Arabidopsis thaliana: one gene and its partner. The protein of the gene in region 2 interacts with the protein of the main gene of each other region in a pairwise test. Each region holds a gene or a part of one and is shown on either strand. Other genes may lie near its edges.

Region 1 (8,035 bases), on a different chromosome or scaffold from region 2:
AGAGACACGCCTTGTCTTCATGTTGAGCTGCTTTAGATTGGTCTTTGTCTCTTTCTTAAAATATTTCTCGACACAAGTCTCAGATCTATGATCCTCTTTCTGTTTCAAAGCCAAAAAGCTGTTCCTTGCTTTATTCTTCTCTGTTTCACGAGTTAATGATCTCTGATCTTCTTTCCTATTCAACTCCGAGAGTTTGATCGTTGTCTTACTCTCTACTGCTTCAACAGTCGTCTGAGATCTCTCGTCTTCTTTATTCTTCAACACCGAAAAGGCAGTGACTTGACGAGCCATAGTTCCCGGTTCTTCTTTCTTCTTCAACTCCGAACACATTTTTAGAACATGCTTCTTCATCTTCAGACGATCTTTGGTAAGAGCAGCTGTGAAAGAGTTGTCGCTTCCATGTGCGTAGAATGTCTTCAACCATGAATGAAACAAGGCTTGGGCTTCCTTACGGATTCTAGGGTTCCTATGACTTCTCAAAGTCTCCAGTTTAACTATTGATTCAGACAATCGTATATCCTTCACGGAAAGAGACAGAGACTTCAAGTGATTCAACACATCGATGCATCGCTCGACTTCGCATGGGTTCCGTGTATTGTAAGTAGCCTTAATTGCAGCAGCAGTCAAGTCGCATAAGTCAGATCTCTCCTTCGCAATTCTCACTCTCATCATCTTTCCGTCGTTCTTGATCATCAGGTGGCTAGGGTTTTCAGTTTATGTTGAAATCTCATACCATTGAATTTCTTTACTGGAAAATTGGTAAAAACGAAGAAACACATAAACCAACACTTCTCTTACCACTCAAGAATCGATACATTCATTAATATTTTACTAACATTATACAAGTAGAGTGGCGAAAGCTTTTACAAGAAACACATAACGTGCATAGAATTCTGAGGTTATAAACTCATTGCTCTGCTTTAATCAGCTTTTGCCATGTCCTATACTGATTGATGTAGTAAAATGTGTTGTAGATGGTTAGTATTTTAGGACTTCTCCCTCATTTTGGCTCTAGCAAATACAACTCCAGCGACAAGACCTGCAAATTAGGCCACCTCAGGTTTAATAATAATACACAACACAAGCGATATGTGTTCCTTCAAGAAGTTGGAAAAGGGAACTGATCGAGAGAACGCTTACCAAAGAGTATGCTTGCTGAGTTCTGCAAACTGGTCGGTACATTGAAAAGAACGATCCCCGCGATGGATAGAGGTATCTTGTTTAGAGATCCCACCAGGCTATGATTTTGAATAAAGCGAAAGATGTATCTAGTTAGGACTGAACCAACAAAGAAGCAAACATAGGAAAGGGATATATGGAGAAGGCTAGGGGACAGCAACACTCTCTTAAGCAAAGTTTTGAAATTGCTCTATCTCTCTCTAATTTGCTACCTGTATGTTGTTGCTCCAGTTTGATGAAGAAACCACATTGAAGTAAAGCTAATGGCAAGCCCTAGAAGTCCACTAAGTGTCATGACCATCCAGAAACTTGGTAATCGTAGAAGTGGCCTGCACAAATATAATACACCATTTTGTTTTCAGATGACACAAACCATTTTCCATTGACACAGAAATAAGGACAGGAACTCACGTTTGATAGAGATAATCCATCTCGTTGAAGAAATAAGAAAGAAGAAGCCCAAGTGGTAATGAAAGTGTGTTATTAAGCAAGACCATGGAGAACTCGTTCAAGTTTCCAGATTGAGTAACCTGCTTGGCCGTATCCATGGTCTTTCTCAAAGTCAGCTGCAAAACAACAAAATATAAGGCAAGTCAAAAGTGGTGGCAAATTTTATAAGAGTATAGTAGCCTAGCTAACAAGCCAAACACTTGGTTTTTGTTGACAGGATATAGGGATAAATTTATGGGAACCTAACAGTCTAACACTCTCGTTTTTTGACCCAGCAATGGAAAACCTAGTGAGAACTGAGAAGTTGATGGTGTCAATTTGCATTCTTTGCCCAAAGTCTTCTCTTTAACATGCTATTCCTACTTCTAACAACGAGTGAAGTACTCAGGTTACCAGTGACAATGGATTGCAAGCTATAAAATTTTCTAAGGTAACAGAATCTCGGTATCTCGTGAGCATCTTAAAACTCAAAAGCAAGCCAGTATCGTAATGATTATAGGGAAGGCTGTTTAGTTTATTGACTTAGTCTTAACCAAACAGCATGTAATACTCGACATGAAAGCATGGTTTTTAAGTGATCTCCTTTTCATATATGTGTTTATTGTTTCAAATGACTCCTAACATTTTGGGAAAAGAAAACACAAATGATCAAATGTTTACTCACCGAGTACGATGCAGTTAAGAAGCAATTAGCAATCTGCCAAGCATAGCCAACAGCATTGAATGATAGGTCTGTTATTCCTCCAGAAACTGCGGAAATTATCTGCAAATGAAGGACGAAAGAAGCACAGGTTAATCAAAACTTTATCCTCTACTTATTCAAGATCTATACAAAAACAAATAGAATATACATATAACAATGAGTAGCCGTGACAAAAAAACATGATTACATTTCCCTGGCAGACTAATTGTGGAAGCAGTTAAAAACATGTATCTCCAACAGTATTGAAAGGTTAGGCTATGCCACACCACTGAAAGCCGCTACGACAAGTGTAACTGTGTACGCACACAAAAGGGTGGATCACTTATCAATAAGAAGATATGCTTTAGACTTTATTGGTTAAGGTTGATGATCAGAGAGTGCTTTGAGAAAACAAGAGAAAACCAAATCCAAAACAGTATAGAATCGTTGTTTGACAAGGATATCTTTCAAAAACTCCAATCAAAATGCTATCTATGTGCAGCTTGAAATAGGTTCCTTGAGAATAGTTTTTTCTCAGGTACAATTTACAGAATCAGTTAGAAATACTTTTAAAGCAGACAAACATACCATTAAGAAGAGAGCAGCCCACACTCTGTTGTCATGTTGCTTGTTGAACAGATACATCTCACCAACTGCAGTTATCACATTAGTGACATTCTTCAGGACAGTGACCATTGCTACATTGATGTATTTCAAACTGTCAAAGAAAATGTAATTCAAATAGACAATCAAGTTCAATCTGCTCTTCAAACACCGCCTACATACACATATACGATACATATCTATATATCTCGACCTACTGTGAAGTAAATCCAAAATATCTATCTGTTTCACCTAAGTGTCTACACGTTATTTAATCCTCGATCTGCTGTAAAGATGATGTACAGATTCTTATAACTACCTTTAGTACTCCAAAAAGTTGACTTTACTAATTTAGTAATCTTATAGGCTTGAGAATTAAGAGAGCATCGATATATAATTCAACAAACCAACACAAAATAAAGGTGTAGAAACACATTCTTACCTAAACATGCTTGTGATAAGCATACCAACAAAGATGACATTCACTGGAAACCAGACCTTCATCAACCTCAAAGTAAGTGGTTCAGTAGTTATTAGACCCATTAAACTCAAACCAACCACAATGATCACCGAGACAAAGTTCTGGTATAACATAAGGAAGATCCCAGCATTGAAGTTGTAGCTGGAGAGAACAAACTTGTTGACAAGTATCATACTGCATGATGAAATGCAATAAGCTAAACCGGATAACAAAGCCCGGTTATGTATCTTTCTTGGAATTGGTTTATCTCCTCCGGATTTTACTGTCTTCCCATCTTCTAAATCAACTCCATCGTGTTCGTACAATTTCATTGCAAAGCTAAGACCTACCAAAGAAACTAACTTCTTTCAAGCTTATATAACTAGATCCATCATTCTTAACAATACACGCACAAAAAAAGTAACAGTTTTACATAAAAACCAATTCGGTTCCAATTCGCAGCTAAAATCAACTTAAGACGAGATTGGATCAAGCAGCAAAGTTGAGAGTAGCTACACAAGCGTTAATCGGAAGTTGTGTAGAGAATAACGAATTTTACCTCGAAGTTGTCCAAAAGCTCGCGAACTAAAGATTCAACTTCGGACGAGATCTAATTGATGACAAGTTACCGGAAAAAAAAAAAACTATGAATCGGAAGAAGAAGAAGAACATGAAACTTGCTCACGCGGAGGATCTTCGTCAGGTCGTGGTGGAGCTATCTGTGAAATGTTGTTTTGAAGAAACAATGGAAATTAGGAAACTGAAAAGACGAGGGAGAGAGATGGCATTGACCAGAAGAGAAAAAAAAAAAAAAAACTGACCAATTTTCGTTTCTTTCGTTTGTTTATTTATATTAAAATTAAGAGTTTCGTAAGTTAGAGGAAGTTCCATTATGTAAAACAAAATAAATTTTCTCAGTGGGTATTTCAAAATTGACAAACTCATCAACTACTCATGTCAAACATGTCTAAATGAATAAATAAAACTAGTATGTATTTCTTGAAATTAAAAATTATTCCAAAGCGAAAAATAGCCTTTTATCTATAAATACAGAATAATATTGATCATTTTTAAGACAATAAAACAGAATAATACTGATCATATACAAATAGGCCATATACAAATATGTCATAACTATACTAAAATTTAAGAAAATATTAGCTATTTAATACTATCAAACAAATCTCTTCATTGAGGTCATTCAACACAAACATTGTTATTTATAAAAAAAGAACACAAACTTTGTTTGGAGTAACTTTGACAGTTACACGTTAAATATGTTCTCTCCTAAGGTATTGAGCTTATGATGTTATTTTGTTAATTTTCATCATTTTATAGTTATTGGTTATTATATAAATCTCTTATATATTGAGAAGAAATAATAATATAAACATAAATTATCTAATTTAGTTATAATGGTTTGGTACCATATGGTCCAAATCACACAATATGTTGTACAATTTGCTTTTTTGGAAAAATGTCATTTAAATCAGTAGTTTACTATTTTTGTTGATTTAAACTATGAGTTCTGTATCTGGTAATTTAAATTCTCAATTTTTATGTTGATTTTCAATTTAATCACGAATTTTCGTTAATTAAGCAAATTGAGGCACAATTTTTTCTCTTTCGCACCATCAATCGACATAGAGATAAGAGATTATTTTGAATTTAAAGAAGAAGAAGGAATCAAAAAAAGGAAAGAATTCAAAAAAGAAAAGAGGGAAAAATGAAAATCGATTTTGGATTCTAGTGTTTATGATTTAAGAAATTTATAATGATGCGTCTTAATTAGTTTAATCAGTGAGAATTCGTATTTAAATTGATAGTCAGTGCAAAAGTGTACTACTGTTATGTGTCTCTAAACTTGGCAATTTGACACAAAATCTGAATGAATAAAAATAAAAGTTTGGCAATAATGGTCCATTTGCCTTTTTGCTTTGTACCATACCGTTGACCTTTCGGCTTAATTCTTTCCACCAGAAATTTTAGCCTATCTATTTTGACTCTTTGACACAGTCCACTTCTAAATCCACTAGCCATAGCCCAAGTTACTCGAGCACGTAAAATAAAATCCTTTAGGCCCAAAAGAACCAGTGTAGCCAAACGCATGACCATTTTGTTTTTTCCGTAACGCATGACAATTTTTATAACAAAAATATATTCACACTCTAATGTTAACGACACTCATCTTGTTCTTGAGAACAAATAGTTGAATATCATTTTCGTATTATAACATTTAATGAAAAGAGTTTTCTATCTCTTCTCTCTTTCATATCTTTTACAGAGAGGGAGCTCTGTTTTTCTTTTGTAATCTCCGTCTTCAATCAGAGCTTTTTGGTTTGTGTTTTAGATTTCCTGTTTTGATGCCGGTTTCTCTTTCCGACTTGTTCGGATTTACTTTCTTTCTTTCTCTTTTGGTTGCCTTTTGCAGGCTCAAATTAACTCTTCCAATTTCGGGAAGATGAAAATTCCAGAAGTCATCAAATGGATCCTTGTTCATTGAGTGCTTGATTCTTCTCCCAAGTGAAGGTAATTCCTTGCTCCGCCAAAAGGGCTTGTTTAGAGCATCGGTTCTCCTTGGTGGATTGATCAAGTTGATGCGGTTGATTGGGACGGAGTATGAAGAATTGGAGTCTTCGTCTTGTTCTGATGAATATTTCGGGCTAATCGGCTGAGGTTACAAATTCTCGTGATCAAGTTTAGGTCCAACCAATCTCTTCTGGTGATCTATGGCAAAAGGCGAGTAGGTACAATCGAAGGCAGAGATAGAGGTTTCTTGGAGGACTGAGTTGATCTGCCGGCTGGTGAAGGAAGTTTCCGGTGATGATGAGTCGGTGACAGCTGATGAAGGAAGTTTCCGGTGATGATGAGTCGGTGACGGCGAAACCTTTTTCTTCTCTCAACATCCCACATTGCATAACACGTATCTCTTTTTTATTTTTCTTATCTTGTGTTTTGCAATTAGTGGGCTAACTTTTGGCCATCTTCTGTACCGAATATCTGCCCATTTGGGCTTTTATAAAACATATTAGGCCGACAAAAAAGAAAAAAAGAAAAAAAAACACCACTTACTATTTTTACTTCTCACTTTATAAGCTTAGAAATAGTATTACCCTCCACATCTCTCTTTTGGTCTCCTTATTTTACACTTACAAGTTTGGCCATCACAAAGTCTGCCAACTTCAAAAAAAGTCTGGCAACTTGATTTCACCATTCGAATCCAGTAATATATTTTTTCCTTTGATCAAAATAAATCTTAAAAGAAAAGAAACAAATGGAGTTCCCTTCAACTTAAAATATTTCATGATAAATATATTACAACCAAAGCTTACATATGCACCATATTTTGTCCATGTAAGACCATCTCCAATAGAGAGAGCCTCCCTATGGGCTCTCTCTATTTTTTTAATACAATTTTATTCAAATTATGTTAAGAGAGCTTATGTTTTTTTTTTTTTTTTTTTTTATAGTCCAATGGTGGACTTTTTCAATGAAGTTCTCAGAAAAAAAAAAATGTGCTTAACATGAAATTTTACTAATTGATTCAAGCAATAACAGATCAACAATGATAGTAGGCTATGATTCTGGTACATGTGATTTTTGAATCTAAAACAGAGTGTGCTTTTCCATGGGATTAAACAATGATAGTAGGCTATAATTCTGGTACATGGGATTTAAACATAGGAATTTATGCATAACTCTACGTGTTAAGCATCTAAATCAAAGTTTTTTTTTTGTTCGTCTGTTCGTCACATATATAAACTTGTATAAATTTTCAAATCAATGAATGAATAAGATGTTAAAAAAAATGTTCGAATGGATAATGGTTTTCGTTAGAAAGAATAAACACAATCAAAGATGAGTCAGTTTAGAATTTAATTTCAGAAACTTTTAATACACATAGTTCTTCTAGATTGGATGTCACGCATTTTGAGAATTTCCTTAATTGTTGTTCATTCTTCAAACAATGTCTACTTGCTAATCCATGCATATACAAAATCGAGTATGCAATGATATGATACCAATGGTATCATACCATATAAAGCAATGTCTACAAAGATTCATACATACTAAAAACTAGGCCATGCATGCATGTTATGATACCATATAAATCAAACAAATTCATTTAACATTGTACTATTGGTAAAAGAAACCAAATTGAGAAATGGACCAAAACAATAAAAACAACAATAATTCGTTAATCCGTTCATAGTTACATTAAATATGTCACAGAAAAACTTGGAATATAACAGAAAATAAAGGAGAAAGACACGGACCTCCATTTGTGAGAGACACACACCTCCCAGTCACACAATCGCTATTTTATTAACCTCTCTTCTTTCGCCACGTGGCATCTCTCTCTAACTGAAAATATTCTCTCATTTCCCTCTTAAAACCGTAAAGCAACATTTTCTCCTCCATTTTTGATCTCTCTCTCTCTCCCTTCTTCTTCTTCTTCTTCTTCCTCTCGTCGCCATTTTTTTTTCCTCTGTATCTGTTCATGCCCGACGCCTAACTGAGTCACCTCGTCTCTGCTTCAGGTGAATCTTCGTCGCTACTTCTCCGTTTTTGTAAATCGTCTCGAAATTACACTCACTTTTGGTTTCGTTTTCTTCTAATCTTCAGGGAAGGGGATCTGAAAGCTCTTCGCATCTAACGTG
Region 2 (8,035 bases):
GTTAGCTAATACAGTAATAAAAAATTTGTACAAAGATAGAGAATTTTTGTGGGTCTTAGCTTATTGGATTGCGATATTGTAAAGTAAAAGTTTTGAAAAATGGAAGATCTGCATTTAGTCCACCGAGGATCATATGCATAGTCGATATTGACACAAGAGTGAAATTTGATTGGAGGAAAGAGGATATGTACCAAGCCACTATTTACCTTTTTTTTACGTCAGGCTCTTGAGATGATCTTCTTAGTTTTGATGTCTTTTTGCAAATTGCAGTGACGTTTTCTAAATTGGTACACTAAGTTTAAAAATGCTGTCCTTTGGATAACTCCAACGGATGATATGAACTAAAACAATGCTGTCCTTTCATATTATGTAAGAAAACACTCACTCGGTTAACTATGAGCAACCCACTACAAGTAAGTATTGTAAAAACGTTTTTTTCTTTCAAATTCCAAGTATTTTTTAAATTTTGTAATAGAAAATAATGATTTGGGTTTTGTAAGTTAGTATTAGGATTTAGATTTTTTTAAATAGTAACGAAAGTGTTTGATAAAAAAGTAAATAGTAACGAAAGTAACCTAAATTGACATTTCCATTACCCTTGAGATGATCAAAATAAACACAATTTCTGCATGATTATGAGTTTATGACTATGCTTATTAGCAATGATTTGTTCTTTCTATAATTTAAAACCAGTTGAAACTAAAATTGTTTTTGTAAAATTTAATAGATGATATTATTAGTATACAAAACTTTTGTCAACAATGAATTGTGTGATAAGAGTTTTTTTGGAGATTTTCTTATGTAATAAAGTCTATCTTGTATGACTACAATTGATCATGGGATTCGTGGCTAATATTTTTTGTAATTATATCTTTTGAGTCAAATTCCATACTCATTTTAATATATGCAATCGAATGTATCTACTAATAATTTGTTCTTATTTAATTTGATTCTGTTGACTCTGTTCCAAAACAACTTTCGGCTATTGGATGTGTCCACGCGAAATGTAATATAATAATGATCAAGTCTTCAAAATGGCACACCTTAATTTCTTTTTGCAAATTATAAAAATTCTTTATATGGTGATCCTACGTATCTATCTAATTATCTCCCAAAACTATGGGCAAGAGTCATTATTAAAATCGACCCTTGGTCTTTTGAGATGCTCAAGAGTTTTAATTTCTAAAATATTAAGCCTTCACTAACATGATTAGAAAAAAATAAAAAGTTAAAAACATGATTAGAAATTTAGAATATTTTAATAAGTACAATGTGGAAATCTAGTGTAAACTTTCCTCGAACATTCCCCATAGATTTATATAAATAGCTAGTGAGAATTTGTTCATGCACATATTCATCACAAAGGAACTCACTGCTCTTAAATTTGCTCTAATTGTTATTACCTTGGTAAATAATATATTCTTGGTTCGATTCGAAATTTTCAAGCAAATGGGTATCGTTGAAAACATTCGTTCCCTTAAATTTGAAGTGAAAATCGTGGAAGCTAGAAACGTAGAGCTCAAGTCATCGCCAACCACTCTCTTCGTTAGGTTCTATCTCCATGCAGGGAATAACAGTAAGATTGAACTAAACACTCCAGAGATCCGTTCGAGATCAGACTGTGAGGTCATTTCCTGGAACCAATCATTCGGTCTGGAGTGCCAAGGGAACGAAACCGCGGTCGAGGAATTGAAGCAACAAAGTGTTGTTTTCGAACTACGGAGAAGGAAAACGACGCCGTTTTTGAAGAAGTGGTCGAAATCAGAGTTGGTGGGTAGAGGAAAGATTTTTTGGAAATCGGTTATAGAGACTGATGGGATGGAAATAGAGAGATTTGTAGTGATGGATGAGACAAAAGATCACGTTCTGGAAGATTGTGATAAGCATAAACCTCTTTTGTTGAAGATAGCTTTAAAAGTGCAAGCTTCAAAAATCGTGAACACTAAGAGAGTGGAAGATCTTTGTGAGTGTAAAGATTGTAGAACATGTAACTGCGTAGATTATGAAGCTTTTGTTGTAGCTTGTGCGTTAGCTGGGATTTAGTTTGTAAGAATAAAATTTAAAGAAGAGATGATTCAAAGAAACCAGAATAAGTTGTTGCAGTAAAATGTAAAAACTAAGGACCAAAGTTCAAAGAAAATGAAAAACAAATAACAACTGTCTTATAAAAGACTATGAAACGATGATGTTGTTTCAAGCATGGTCATGTCCAAGAAGGGCGAGAAGCATATCCTTGTAGTCACCAGAAGTGTCATTAGCAATGGCTCGATCAAGAGGAACACTGTTCCTGCGTAAGTATTCTTCTTTGATCCGCTCCAGGTCGACCTCTGCTCTTGTAGTGACCACTCTAGTAAGTGCCCACTCGTCTGTTCCCATCCTGTTGATGGCTCGACGTAGAACCTTCTCAAAGTACTTCTCTGGATATGTCAAGCATTTGATCGCGGTTTTGAGTAATTGAACATAATCATCGTTCGAATCTTCTTTGAGAAACTTGTTAATGGAACTTCCAAACTTGTCCTTGAAGTGATTGAGTGTTGCATTGATCTGTGCTTTGCTCCTTGTTGTCAAGATTCTGATGAGATCTTCATCAGTGTAAGCCTTCTCAGTGATCTTCTTGTGAAGTGTCTTAGCTTCGGATCTAGCCAGCTTCACGTTGACCTCATCAGCATTTCCATCGTACCTGAAGGTGCTCACAAGAGGAACCAATAGCTGCATTTTTACAAGTGGTCAAAACAAAACAACATATCATCAGAAACTTACTAATTGGTTTAAAGAATGATATACATAAATCTTTCACTACCTTTCGGATATTTCCAGATGTATGGTATGCAACATCTTCCTCGAGAGAGGTCTTGTAGCGAACATGGTATGCTTGCTTGGTCTTGAAAAACTCAAGAGAAGGTCTAGTACAAGCGATTTCAACTAGGACCCAAATGTTTTTGGTGAACAATTTGGTAGATTCATTGGCCAAATACGCATCTCTCTCCGTTGGATCAAGAGTCCACAACATCACAACTCTCTGTTTTCAAGCAAAGTAAGATGTTCAAAATAAGATGAAGAAATATAGATTTTGTATCTTTTAGTTTTGACAAACCTCAAAGTCACCAGAAAGCTCTCCGTCTAATTCCTTGAGAAGATCCTTATTGTAGTTAGCAGCATAAACGGCACGAATGAAACTGCGTTGCGTTGCGTTTCTATGAGCCAAAATTGATATGATCATCCCTTCATTAGTTCCCCATCCTGCGCCACACAAAAACAAATTTCAAACCCAAGTTTAGTCAGATAGAGAGTATGTAACAAAACCTAACTAAACCAAACCAAAATTTTACGACAGTTAGAAATTAACTGTAAATATACAAGAAAGCTGATGTTCGCTAGTAGAAAAAAAACCAAGCTTGAAAAAATCTTAGAAGATTATTAGAATTTTTTTTTTGGGTTTAAATCTGAATAAAAAAATTGTTACGAAAGCAACAAGTTAATCTGTTTAAAAGAGTTGTCTAATCGTCGATTACAAACCAAACGGTCAGGAAACGCTCCAACATAAAATCAATTGCATCCAAAATCAGCAAAAGAGTAAATAATATGTCACACAATTTTGCACCGTAACAAAAGAATCATGCAATGGAGTATAACCACAAAACTTCACGAAGTTAAGACTTCCTAAGAATCATTTGAAAAACGAAATAAAAAAGAGCTAACTTATCATCCACTTCTTAAAATTAAACCTATATACGTGTCATCAACCAAACCAGCAAGCTAGATCAGTAGATCAGACCTGTCATGATAATAGATTGAACTATTGATAATCAACCCAATTAAATAATATCAAAATGCAAATGATTCAATCAAAGCATGAATGTGAAGGCCTAGTATTTAACTTTTACTAAATCAATCTAACAATGAAGGGATGGATCATGAAAACCTTTGAATGCCTTGTGGAGCTGCTCGGAGTCTTCTTCGGGAAGAGGAATATTTGCTGGAATTTTGAGAGACGCCATTCTCCGACCACTGAATATTTCTCTAGCTCTCTAGATGAGACGAAGAAAATGTGGGACGAGGAACATGCACACTGTCTTAAATAATGAAATGATATCCCAATTTTTTATATTTTATTAATTATTTTTGTTAAAAATTAGATTTAGCAATCTATGTAAATCAGTAAAAGAGGAAAAAATTATTAATACAGGCTGTCTACAGTGGATAGAATTGATAAAACAAGTATAATGTTTTGCATTTTTTTGTCATAAAGCTGAATATTAAATGGAAATTGCACATTTTCTTAAATAATGAACTGAAATCTCAAATTTTGTTAATTATTAATCAATTTTGTTTTAAAATAGACTTAACAATTTAAGTAAATTAGTAAAATGAGAGATTTTATTAATACAATTACAGGCTGTATACAGTGAACAGAAATGAAAAAACAAGAATCATGTTTTGGGTTTTTGTCATAAAGCTGGATTTTAAATGCACTTTAAACAGCTTAAATATGGGATTACATAGGTACCGAAATTTAACTTTTAATTTATTTATTTTTTCTGTTATATAATACACGCATATTCCTTAATTAATTTCATTATTTGGATATTTCATTATTTGGACATGGATTATAACACATGGCGGACAAAACATTAGAACCAATATTGTTCATTTTAACAAGATGTATTAAGTATGGGTTTAGCTTTAATTTTAAAACCATATAATTAAGGGGAAAATTATAACTCATTAGTTTATACTAAATTAATTATAAATAGATCAATAATAATTTTTGATATGGTTTTATAATTTTTAGATTTAAAAAAAAAAATAACTGAAAACATCGACGACAAATGAAACTGAAGACACTAAATTCTTAACATGACCAAGTTGCAAGTCCAACCACAACTGTTTTATTAAACACAAAGCGATAAAATTTAGTTTTTTTTCTTAAACAAAACTTGCAAATGTTATTTCAAGCATGGTCATGTCCGAGAAGAGCGAGAAGTATATCCTCATAGTCACCATGAGTGTCTTTAGCAATGGCTCGATCAAGAGGAACACTGTTTCTACGTATATATTCCTCTTTGATCCGTTCCATGTCAAACTCTGCTCGTGTAGTGACCACTCTCGTTAGTCCCCACTCATCTGTTCCCAATTTGTTGATGGCTTGACGTAGAACTTTCTCAAAATACTTCTCTGGATATGTCAAGCATTTGATCACGGCTTTGAGCAATTGAATGTATTCGTTTTCCGAATCCTCCTTTAGGTATTTGCTCATGGAAGTTCCGAAATTGTTTTTGTAGTGATTGAGAGTTGCGCTGATTTGTGCTTTGCTCCTGGTTGTCAAGATTCTTATGAGATCATCATCAGCATAAGCCTTTTCCTTGATCTTCTCGTGAAGTATCTTAGCCTCGGACCTAGCTAACGTCATGTTCACTTCATCTCCATCGTACCTAAAAGTGCTCACAAGAGGTACCAAGAGCTGCATAAACAAAAACATATGTCACAAATTTATATGCATTCTTGACATAGTTATACGAACTGAGTTTGTTAGCTAGGAATCTTAATTACATCAATAAACATATGAGATTTCATCTAGTATACAAAATAGATGAACTAGATACATTTGATTTTATTGGATATCTCAGATGGAATTAAGCTCATGAAACTTTCACATAATTAATTATATAATACCTTTCGAATGTCTCCAGATGTGTGGTATGCGACGTCTTCCTCGAGGGAGGTCTTGTAGCGGGCTTGGTATGCTTGCTTGGCATTAAAGAGTTCAAGAGCAGATCTAGTACAAGCGATTTCGACAAGAACCCAATTGTTTTTGGTGAACATTTTGGTAGATTCTTTTGCCAAATAAGCATCTCTCTCCGCTGGTTCAAAAGTCCACAACATCACAGCTCGCTGTTTTGTTTACAAAAAAAGAAAACATAGTTAAACAGATCAGTAGACTAAAACCAAAAGAAGACGAATATATAAAGATGTTGTCTCAAATTAAAACCTCAAAGTCACCGGAAAGCTCTCTGTCTAATTCCTTGAGAAGATCCTTATTGTAGTTAGCAGCATAAACGGCACGAATGAAACTACGTTGCGTTGCATTTCTGTGAGCCAAGATTGATATGATCATCCTCTCATTGGTTCCCCATCCTGCATTAGACAAATTCACAATTACATTAAAGAAAAATAGAGTCAGAATCATGTTTGAAATCATTCATCAGTATTAGATTGAAAAAGATATATAATTCTAGTAAAATTTATCTCGTTTCATCAATTTTTGAAAGGTCTATTAAATACTAATAGATTATTTTTGATGATAGGAGTAATTTTAACCAAATTAAATAAATCCATACCATAAACCAAACTAGATCTATATACTATATAGATCAACGAATATATACAGACACATGATCGATCAGATAAGAGGGTATAGTTGAAATAGATTACGCTATGACCAACCAAACTGATAGAGGATTCAATCGAAGAAGGCGAATGCTAGACTAGTTATAACCAAAAGATTAATGAAGGGGTATAGAGAAGGACATAAACCTTTAAAGGCTTTGTAGAGTTGCTCAGCGTCTTCTTCGGGAAGAGGAACAGTGGCGGGAACTTTGAGAGAAGCCATTTTTCGAACAAGTGAAATTTCTGTATGTTCTTGTTTTTTGTTGTCTAGATGATGAGGTAGATAGAGCTCGTGTTGTCTTACTTAAATAATGAGATGGCAATTAAAGTTTCAATAAAAAAGTTTTTGTATAAAGATGTATTTTGATAAAGAGACTTAGTAATTTTTAATGAATTAAATGAATGGAAAAGGTAGTAAATCAACTGAAAATATTATTGAATAGTAAATTTGTTGACTATATAAGTGAAGTATTAAAAGCCTATCTATTTTAGTTAAAAGGAAAGAAATCAAGATAGCTGGCAGAAAATGAATTTAATTAAGTTGAATAAATTTCAAGGGAAGTATTTATATATATAGAGTGGGACAGAAACTTATGATTTTGATTGTGAATGACACGTTTGAGTTTGGCCTTGACATATGAAGAGTATACACAACTTTTTTTTTTTTTACTTTTATAATTATGTTTAGTGGATATCTATGATTTATATTTATTAACATAATATTGTTGTTTTAATTTTTTTTTTGGAAAAAAACTTTGATTAGATTTTTTTAAAAATTTGATTACTCAATAATTAATTATTTTAAGCTATATATTAAATAGACCTTTAAAGGTCCATGTGACAAGTTTATAATTATAGGAATTTTCCGGAGACAAAACAAGATTTTCATTGCTTATGTCATTTGTTCTTGTTTAACTCCAAGAATCACGTGGTTAGTGCTAAGCTTAACGTTTAAGGAGCAGTTATTTTATTGGCAACCAAATACTGATTATCGACTAATTAAAAGAATCGTAACGTCAAATATCTAATTGGTGTAGTTTATATGTTATAAAATATGTTATGGATAAACAACCCACAAGAAAGTTATAAGAATTGTAATGAATTTCAAATTTTCATTAGACCGTAAAAACAGATCTGGCGCGAAAAAAATTAAAAGGAAGATTAAATAAAAGAACAACGACTCTGCTGGGGATCGAACCCAGAATCTCTGGTTTCGTAGACCAGCGCCTTATCCATTGGGCCACAGAGTCCTTGTGATGATAGTAGAACACTTAAACAATATAACTTTAATAGAAAGGTACTATTCCCACAATAGCCAACGCCAGTTTTCTTCTATAAAGATCCGTTTAATTTGCATGAACCAACCTAAACCTTCTTCTCTGTATCGTTTCAATTCCAATTACAGTGTACTTTGAAGTTTGAATTACTATAGAAAACCAAAGTGAATCAAAATATAGACTGATGATAATCACACTTTTTGACAGAACAAAGAAAATAGCTTTTGAGATAGAAAAAGAAAGAAAGAATCGGATTCATGAAAAATAACGTTCATAATCTGAAGTATCAAGCTTTCATGGATTGTCTAATAACACTAAACACAGAAATTCACCAGGAACTTATTAGGTACACATCCAAAGAACCCCAGAAA

Evidence for each region. The genes of interacting proteins can lie anywhere in the genome.
Region 1: the proteins of ANN6 (region 2) and GONST1 interact in a protein complementation assay, tested with the Arabidopsis thaliana proteins (one large-scale study listed by BioGRID).

Annotation. Positions count from the first base shown.
Region 1 is NC_003071.7:5,686,598-5,694,632, forward strand, and holds GONST1 (golgi nucleotide sugar transporter 1), read right to left. Parts: upstream 4,175-8,035; 5' UTR 3,934-4,174; intron 3,721-3,933; 5' UTR 3,707-3,720; coding exon 3,357-3,706; exon of another isoform or gene 3,113-3,356; coding exon of another isoform or gene 3,030-3,112; coding exon 2,900-3,029; intron 2,393-2,899; coding exon 2,294-2,392; intron 1,746-2,293; coding exon 1,591-1,745; intron 1,509-1,590; coding exon 1,392-1,508; coding exon of another isoform or gene 1,388-1,391; exon of another isoform or gene 1,239-1,387; coding exon 1,141-1,238; intron 1,040-1,140; coding exon 987-1,039; 3' UTR 719-986; downstream 1-718. Other genes in the region: AT2G13640 (Transcription factor IIS family protein), read right to left, coding at 1-693; AT2G13660 (uncharacterized protein), read right to left, coding at 5,695-6,020, 6,085-6,292. UniProt on the Arabidopsis thaliana protein: Involved in the import of GDP-mannose from the cytoplasm into the Golgi lumen. Required for the luminal synthesis of a variety of plant cell surface components. Is required for the correct mannosylation of the glycosylinositol phosphoceramides (GIPC).
Region 2 is NC_003076.8:3,204,787-3,212,821, forward strand, and holds ANN6 (annexin 6), read right to left. Parts: upstream 4,045-8,035; 5' UTR 3,999-4,044; coding exon 3,923-3,998; intron 3,241-3,922; coding exon 3,095-3,240; intron 3,020-3,094; coding exon 2,801-3,019; intron 2,710-2,800; coding exon 2,194-2,709; 3' UTR 2,082-2,193; downstream 1-2,081. Other genes in the region: AT5G10210 (nitric oxide synthase-interacting protein), read left to right, coding at 1,450-2,043; ANNAT7 (annexin 7), read right to left, coding at 4,952-5,461, 5,674-5,892, 5,990-6,135, 6,535-6,610.